2 linked regions of the Mus musculus genome follow. The protein of the gene in region 1 interacts with the protein of each later gene in a pairwise test. Links are inferred from orthologs where the notes say so. Each region holds a gene or a part of one and is shown on either strand. Other genes may lie near its edges.

The links.
Region 2: the proteins of Rhoa (region 1) and Ripor2 interact in binary tests that used the Homo sapiens proteins (3 or more experiments, as listed by UniProt). The link is inferred for Mus musculus from reciprocal best matches to the Homo sapiens genes RHOA and RIPOR2.

Annotation. Positions count from the first base shown.
Region 1 is NC_000075.6:108,304,802-108,308,959, forward strand, and holds the start of Rhoa (transforming protein RhoA precursor), read left to right. Parts: upstream 1-1,358; 5' UTR 1,359-1,752; intron 1,753-1,995; exon of another isoform or gene 1,996-2,275; intron 2,276-4,158. Other genes in the region: Tcta (T-cell leukemia translocation-altered gene protein homolog), read right to left, coding at 525-627, 921-1,143. UniProt on the Homo sapiens protein: Small GTPase which cycles between an active GTP-bound and an inactive GDP-bound state.
Region 2 is NC_000079.6:24,636,926-24,641,741, forward strand, and holds the start of Ripor2 (rho family-interacting cell polarization regulator 2), read left to right. Parts: upstream 1-1,722; 5' UTR 1,723-1,962; coding exon 1,963-2,011; intron 2,012-2,152; exon of another isoform or gene 2,153-2,309; intron 2,310-4,816. UniProt on the Homo sapiens protein: Acts as an inhibitor of the small GTPase RHOA and plays several roles in the regulation of myoblast and hair cell differentiation, lymphocyte T proliferation and neutrophil polarization.

The sequences.
Region 1 (4,158 bases):
CTCCCAAGTGCTCAGATTAAAGGTGTGCGCCACCACTGCCTGGCAGAGTCTGAGTTGTCCTTGTTTTCTGGTGTACTGTGACCTCTGCCGTGTGGTAGAAGCTCAGAGATTAGCTGAATGAAATGTCCTGATAAGTAAGCTGTTGTTTTTAGAGATTAGGAGGTTGACTTGATGAGGTCGTATGCTAAGAATAGAGACTGTTAGGCTGGGGGTTATAGCTCCAGTGGTACAGTACTTGCCTAGAATAGATGTTCTTGCCTTCCTAAAGAAAGACTTCCCAACCAAGGGATTTGTTTTCAATAGACCTGGCACATCACCTTTCTGAAATTAAGGTAACACCACCATCCATCCCCACTGAACATGCTGATGAGAGGCTCTAAAGCCACTGGGAACCCCCAACTGGAATCCTGAGCTCTACCATTAGCCTTGAAGGATTCTTGCACAGCCACTAAGCTGGTGCACTCACATGCTGAGAGTTCTCTGCCTGTCAAGCATGGGGTTGGGATAGACAGAGATTTACTCACCATGAAGAGAAATGTGTGGAGCCATCAGGTGTGGATCCATTCTGGCCACCCAGACCTGGAGGCAGGAACACACCCATAGCTGCAGGAGGCTGAGGGTGGGGATCTGAGCAGGCAATAGCCCAGGTCAGGTCAGGGGCCACTGGTATAGTTTAATAGAGATTGAGGCTGGGATACTAGGGACTAGTGGTATTGTCCAGGAAGGGTTTTGAGAAACAGTTAACAACGTGATGATGGGCATGAGGGGCTTGTGGTGTAAAATGGTACGGGGTTGTAAGTCTGGGTACAGTGAGGCTCCTGGAGGACCAGTGGTAGTCTATGTGGACACAGGAGAACCCAATGGTACAGTATGGTGGTGGTAGGGACAGCCGGGCCAAGGAGGTTCGTAGGGAGCCTCACCTGGACGGTGATACAACCCGGTCACTGTGTTCCCGTAGAACCCCCAGGCCAGCTGGATGCCCAGGAGACTTAACACCAACCACAGCAGGAGCAGCTTGAAGAGAGTCACTCGCATGTCTTGTGTCTCCCACTCCCGCAGAAAGTCGCTGCCCAGGGTGCCCAGCGCTCCGAGCACCGTGGCGGGCAAAGCTTGCAGAAACTGCCCGGCCCAAGGCTCCGCCATGACTGGCCAGCGCCCCACCGGGAGTACTGTCACCGTAGTTCTTACTGCGCAAGCGTATGGTCTTCCGGGGTTAGGCCTGTCAGTGCGCACGCGTAATACAAGGCAAGGAAGATCTACTTCGCTTGCGCGAAGTGTTGGCAGTTTGGGGAGGGGTTTTTAAAACCGCGCAGGCGCACCCAGCCCCACCCTGCTTGCTTAAAGGATGAGTGATTCGGTGAGGATAAAATAGCAACTCGCTCTTTTATAGCCCCGGTGTTCCCGTCATGCTCCACGCGTCTGCCATGATTGGTTAAGCGTCTAGCTCTCAGGGCGTGGATGCGTTCTTGAGCAATCGTGGCTGAACTGAGAGTGTGCGCGCGTGCGCGGGGCCGCGACTGGCGCCAGCTCGAGCCCGCAGGGCGCTCGGGGCCGCGCACGTCGCTCCCCGCCCTCCCGCCACCGCCCGCCCTCGTTCGCTCGCGCTCCCCGCCCGCCGCCCGCGGTCCTCCGTCGGTTCTCTCCATAGCCCGCCGTCTCCCACGGAGCTGCCCGTCCTTGGCTCGGAGCTCGCGGACTCGCGGACAAGCGTCCTCAGCGCGAAGAGGCCGGACTCGGAGTCCTCGCCTTGAGGTGAGCAGGAGCATTTCCCTCCAGCCGCCTCGGCTCCGGGCCCGGCTGGTCGGCTGATCGGCAAGCACTTTTCCGGCCTCCGGCCCGTCGCCTGCCCGCGGTCGCGCCCCACCTGCTGCTCTCGGCCCGCAGCCCCTCGCCCCGGCCCCTGACCTGGGGCCCCGCGCCCGAGGCGGCGGCCCCGCCCGCGCAGTCCCCGGAAGCGCGCCCCGCCGCCTCCAGTCCCCCTTCCCCCGCCCGGCCGGGCCTGGTGGAGCCCTAGCCGCCCGCCCTCCTCGTCGCTTCCTCTCAGGGTTGCGCCGGGCTGGGCGGGGGCTCCCGGCCGGTCCGCGACCGCGCTGGGGTAGCCTGCCACTGCGAAGCGCGTGTGGCTGTCGGGAGTTGGACTAGGCAAGAAACTCTTTTACAACTCCATTTTGCCTTTTGCATTGAACGTGGATTATTAATCCCGTTCTATACCGGGTGAAGACAGTGAGGGTTTGGGTGGATTTTCTGTTTTGAGTGCCGTATTATTGGAGATTGTGTAAGTAAAAGATTGTTTTGAAATCTTAGCGGTTATGACTCTATGGGGGAAGGTATTTTCCAGTCGAAAAAACACATAATAATTTGGCGAGGTTGCATCAAAATAGATGCATTTCTGCTTAAAGTTATTACTTCAATTAAGAATCACTGATGGGTTCCCCTTTTCAGGTCGGTTTCGTAAAATTGCATTTTTTGCAGGCAAGTTGATTTAAAAAAAAAAAAGTTCATGTTTAGTAGCTGATAGTGGAAAATTTGACACCATTTTTTTTCTTTTTTGCCCCAGAATTGGTTCTACTTGTATTTTCTAATAGTCATCACTAAATTTTGACCTATTAGTTATTTATTTGGTTTTGTCTTCTGGTATATTTTGAAATAAGTGCTTTTTGCATGTTATATATAACATTATATATGTATAATATGTAGTACACGTATAATGTACATCCCCCATGCCAGTCTGAAAGGGGAAAACTTATATTTTAGGATGCGGTATGTGGTGAGAATTTTTAGCCACTTAGTGTCACGTGCCCAAATGTGTATGTACCATGTGGAATGTTTTTTTCACCTTTCATTGGCTAGTTTGAGCATTTGACTCACGTATTATTAAACTAAGAAAACAAGATCAGGTCTTAATATTGAAGACTCTGAGATGTTGTTTGGAGTATTTCTCCGGAGCAGTGACGTTTCTTAGGGACATAAAATATATGGAGCTTGTTTTTTTCCTATTTTATTTTCCTCTTTGGTGTTGGCTTGGGACACAGTGAACAGGTGCTGTATCTCTGAGCTGCATTTCAGCCTTACAACTTGGGATCAAACTCTAGTGCTCAACTTACATAGCTTCTACTCAAAAATCTACTGAACAGGAGAATAGGAACATCCACTCTACTGATTGTACCCCCAATAGATGTAGTATTTTAGACTGGGGAGGAAAAAAAAAACTTTAGGATTTACAAACCAATTCCGTTTGTAGGTGTGGGAACTGAGCTTAGGGAATTTTTTTCTCTTTCCTTCTGTGTGTGTGTGTGTGTGTGTGTGTGTGTCTGTCTGTCTGTCTCTCTCTCTCTTTCTTGAGAAAGGCTTATTACTCCGCAGAGAGAACAGTGGGTGTGATAATACCAGAAGAACCACTGACCTAAGACTTAATTTAAAAAAAAAAAAAAAGACACTGGGTCTGACCTGAGACCTGGAACTTAATTTGTAGATAAAGCTGGTCTCTAATTTCCACATGCTCCTAGTGCTGCCTCCGGAACAGTGCTGGGATCACTGGGTGTGTGCCACCATTCCTGCTGAGACTTAAAATGTTTGAAGGTCATACATCTAGTTAGACTACAACTATTTTTTTTTCTGTTATTCTCCATGTGCTGTCAGTTAAAATCAGAATTTCCAGGTTACTTCAGGTTCTTTACCATGCAGATTATGCATATTTGGGAAACAAATTTCATGTTTTTGTAAGTAGTTCCTTTCTGGCTAGGCCTTGCCTTTGAGTGTGTTGGTTTTCTTAAGGACCGGGTTTTGAGAGTTTACTGTTAGCAAAGATAAGGTAATGAGGTCCAGCTAGAATGTTTTCAAGACTCCTTTGAGTCAGTTTTAAATGGAATTGGTGAGAATTTGCATGTATCAAGTAGACCATGGTCTGTACATGTGTGAGAGTGGTTTTGTTGGAGTGATTTCATAGTCCTTTAAAAAGTCCATCTTGCTCTATTAGGGGTGTAAGTAAGTTACTAGAAGAGTGAAAACAGATCTTCAGAGCTGGGTGTGGTGGCACACGCCTTTAATCCCAGCAGGCGGATTTCTGAGTTCGAGGCCAGCCTGGTCTACAAAGTGAGTTCCAGGACAACGAGGGCTGCACAGAGAAACCCTGTCTCGGGAATAAAAAACAAAAACAGA
Region 2 (4,816 bases), on another chromosome or scaffold:
GTTTTTTTTTTTTTTAAGGCCACTGTTTCTGCAATGTAGATAGACTATTGTCTATCACTGCCTAAGAAATCAACATACAGTCATTTAAAAGAACACACAGCATTAACTCACAATTTCCACTCGTCAGGAATCCAAGCCCGGCTTTGCTGTGTCCTCCAAAGGATGGGTGTGCCATGAAGAATGTCTCCCCACAAGCCATGTCTCTTTTTTGCATGAGCATCTAAAGTCGATGAGGCTGGGTCATCTTGGACAAGTTAGGCTAACTCTCTGTAACCTTAGTTTGCCTGCCTATAAAGTGGGAATCAAAATACTGAAAGGTTACAGCCAGGTGTAAACAGTCTAATGTCAGGGGATAAGAAGATCGCCATAAACTTACGTTTAGTTCTGTACGGATTGATGCATTAGGGACTTGCTTGTTGAGCAGAACACCCATGAGGAAACACACAGAGAGCTTGCTTGCCCTCTGTGTGCTAAGCTGTCACATGTGTAGTCGTAGTCGACGCTTTCCTCCTAGGAAGGAATGTCCACATGGGAAGGTGGCTTCCTGATGGGGAGTGTGTTGAGTTGAGAGAAGGGCATTGGAGAATGCAGCTGGCAAGGGTAGCCTGTCTGAGCTCCTCTCAAGCCATGGCCTCGTGGTCCAGGTGAGAGGCCTGTACAGTGCTCCTCCTTGGGTGATCCCTGAAGTCTGGCTGTATCCTTAGGTGGGGTGTGATTCAGCTGCTTGCGTTTTCCAGGTCTAAGGATGTCCAGGTTTCCTGATGCTGCCATAGACTCCTCTCCTAGCCTTTGTTGGTCAAGGTTTATACTTCTTGATTCTAATGTCCTCATAAAGTGACTAGGTCTCAGCTTGGAATGTGATGGATGAATTTGTGGGACACTTTGATTTTACATATTGTAAATACACAATTGTATGAGTAAGACAGTTTCCCTGAGGAGGAAACTGAGGCCTGGAAGACTGCCAACCTAAGGATGGACGCAGAGTCCACTCTTGGGCTCCAGGTCCTTAGAATACCCAACCTCATACTCTTCACTCACACACATATAATAGCCTAGTTACCAATGCTGACCTGGGATTTACTATATATAACCCAGGCTGGCATCGAACTTACAGCAGCCTTCCTGCCTTAGCCTCTTGAATGCCACCACACTCAGCTTCTAAAGGTCCTTTTTCTATGGAATGTTTCTGTCTGTCAGACCCACCTACATTTTATAGCCTTATGTATAATTCAAATTCACACCAAAAGAGAGGTTTCAAAGTCAAACAAAAGTCTTGCTTCTCCCTATCATAGTGAAACCTCTGTCGAAACAAGCCCTGGGTACTTGTACCCAGAGGCCCTCTCCAACCGGGCTTTTCAACATAACTCCTGCCTTGAGCCTTGAACTTCACTCTTCACCACTGCACACAACCCTCCCCCATCTCATCATTTGCAATGCACGGCCCTTTTTGAGATCCCCAAAGGCTGGCTGCACAGGCACTCTTGTCTCAGCTGAGATCTCCTCTAATGCTCCGTGTCCGGCTGGTCTCAACTCCCCTGCGGCGGAGTCCTTCTAAGCTGCGCCACAAGCTAGTGTCCCAGAGCCTGACGTGCAGGCAGACGATCAGCTGGAGGCAAGCACCCAAGCGCACCCTGAAGGAGTCGGGCTGAAGGGACCATCAAGCAGCTGTCTCCACCCGCCCTCCTCCCTCGCCCCCCCCCCACCGGTGACGCGCCAGCCCCCGCGTGCGCGCCTCCCCACCGCCCTCTCCGCTACCGCGCTCGCTCCGCTCTCTGCCACCCGCGCGTCCTCTGGCCCCGCAACTTCACCCGGCGCGGCGGCAGCTGGTGCGACGCCCGAGCGCTGGGGCCACGACTGTTACCCTCGGACCTTTCCCTGTTGGCTGGGAGGAACGAGCACCGGTGTCCGCGGAGCCGGAGGTGCACGGCAGCGAGGGGCGGTGCGTGGGTGCCGAGGTGGTACATGCCACCCGGTACTAAGCGTCTCCGGGCACTAGGAGCGTTCTCGGCAGGTAGGTGCACGCGCCTCTTAAACACATTCTCTGCGGCTGATTTTGGTTTCCACCGGCATGAGGTGGGTGTATGGAGGAGTGTCCTGGGCTTGAATGAGCCTGGCATATTAAGAAGAACCCTTGGGTGTCCGGGCTTCCTAGGTCCTGGCGAATCCGGGGAGCCTGATGTGGGCTGGGACGAGAAGGGAAGTTATTAAGGAAGAGGGGCCGTGCACTTAGCGCAGGCCGACCCAAAGGATGTCCCGCACTGTGGAAGGACCGATTGAGAAGGCTAGAGAAGCCTGTGGCACTACCTAAGGTAGGGGCTTGTCAGGGACAGGGGATCCCGCGGGTGGGATCGTGGATGAACCCTGGCTTCCGAAAGACTTCCGGGCACCCAGCAGCGATGGGTGATCCAGCTCAGAGGGAGGATCGCAATTTCCAAGGGCTTCATGTGCCTCCAGACTGAGCAATTGAGCTTGGCTGGGACCCAGCTGTTCCAAATTGGCCACGTGAAACCGGTGAGAATGGGGAAGAGGGCAAGCCAAAAGAAATGTGTTGTTTTTGATGCCAACCTGTGTTTGGAAAGACTGGGGTACGGGGTCACACTTGGGGAACACTCTAACCCTAGCAGGTGTCTGTGATATTGAACGTGCGCGGGGGGTGGGGGGGGGGTTCTGTAGTTCTCCCTCAGGCTATTTATTACCTCATAGCTCCCTCCCACAGTTTCCTGGATAGGGATGCAGACCCCTCGCTGTAGAAGAGGGCGGGCGTTGGAATTCGCTAAGCAGAGCCATTCAGGTGCGAGAATGACAGGACTGTGGACAGTCACAGCTCCTGAGTGAGAAAACAAGACGAAATCCTAGAGAAGCTAGCAATGTTTTTTGGGGAGTGGGGGTGGGGCAGAGTGGGATCCACAGCCCATAGGCTCTGGTCTGGGGGACACCTATATGTTGCATGAGTGACTGTGAAGAAATGTCAACACTTCAGCTGGGGGAACAATGTGATTGTCTTTAAAGCACACACACACACACACACACACACACAAGCTGCCTTTCCTCTCAGCTCCCCTTGCAAATATGAGCACCCGCCCATTGTTTCCTGACACAGTCATTTCTTCCTTCTTCTGTTTCGTTGTTTTTGATGTTAGTTGGTTGGATGGTTTTGTTTTGTTTTGGGAGAGTTTTCTGGGTCAGGTTTGCCTCGCTCCTCCTTCCCACCCTCACCCAGTATTCCTACTAGCCTACTTCTCTTAGAGCAGGCTCTGAGAGTCCCATTCATAAGGTTTAGCTCCACTAGAGCCTTCTATCTGCTGTTACAGCAAGAGAGGTCAGGGCACAACTCCTGCAAAGAACCAGCACCCTCAATCCAATCTCCAGCAGTTACCTGTAAAGTAGGCACCCTCGCTTTGCGGCAATAAATCTTAGGGCAGGGAGGGGGGTGTCTACTCAGTCCAACCTCCAACAACATCAGAGCTCCTGCTGACGTCCCAAGAGTGGAGATCCAGCCACAAGGTGGCCTTTGCCCTAGAAGTTAATGCGTTTGCCTGTCTAAAAGCTGACTGCACCCAACCATCTGAAAAAGAACATTGGAGAATATGTTTAGTCAAAACATAGCACATGTGTTGCTTTTCCAAAAGCCCCCTGATGGGTGTTGTTGCTCTCTTCCTCTGACACTCTGATGTGAGATGTTTTCACTAGGAATATTTTGTCCTCAATATAAATATAGAGACTGCCAAACCCGAGAGAGGGAAGGCTGTTAGCCCGGCCAGAGGCCTTGCCCGGAAGCCTGATTACCAAAACACAGGTTCTCTGACTCCTTTCCTTTTGTTGATTAGCAGAGAAGCAGAGAAGGGACTTGTCTGCTTTCAGGAGTGAATGCCCCAAGGAGGAGGTTTTTATGCCTATTGTTTGGATCTGGGGAACTACACCTATATAAGTGTCCAGGCTTTGGAATGGGGTCATGATAGGCGTGCTGACTAAATCTTCTGTCACTAACAAGAAACTATCCCCACCAGGATAGACCCTAGGACTCAGCTACATTATTAACCATGTGCCTCCTTCTAAATGAACCCAACCACTTCTGTTATTCTTTGTCCCTCCCTCCCTTCCTGCCCCTCCTCCATTCTGTGTGAATGTGTGTGTGAGTGTGAGTGTGTGTGGGTGTGTGTGTTCAGGTGTCTTCTTCTGTCAGTCTTCACCTTATTATTTAAGACAGTCTCACTGAACCTGAAGCTCATCAATTCAGCAAGATTAAGTGGCTGAGAGCTCTAGGGACTTCCCACTCGCTGCTTTCTTGGCCCTAAGATTGCAGGTATGCACTGCCATGTCCAGCTTTTTACGTGGGTACTGGGCATCAAATTGAGGTCCCCATGCTTGTGTGACAAGTACTTTACTAAATGAGCCATCTTCCCAGTCCCTCTTGTTACATTTTGAGCTCATTTTATTACACCCCACTTCTGTTAAGAGGACCCAAACAGAGAAGGGTAGCTATAGAGAGTAGACAATATACCCTTCAGATTTCATAGTTAATGATCAGAGCTTTCTTACAATGGTCCTTTGGGGTTAAAGAGTTTACAAACAAGTGCTCTATTCTAACATCAGTGCATTCAAGGGCTGGAAAAAAATTAAAATGCAGTTTTATTTTTATTCTGAAAAGAAGCAACAAGTCTGAAACCAGCCTCTTGCTTTCCTTGAGAGGAAGTAGGAGTGGAAGTGAAAGTCATTTAATCTGCACAATGGATGATCCCCAGGCAATGGCAGACTTGGCTTTCCATCTGGGCTTCCCTTGCCTGGTTCTGAGCAGGGGCTTCATGCTTGCAAACAG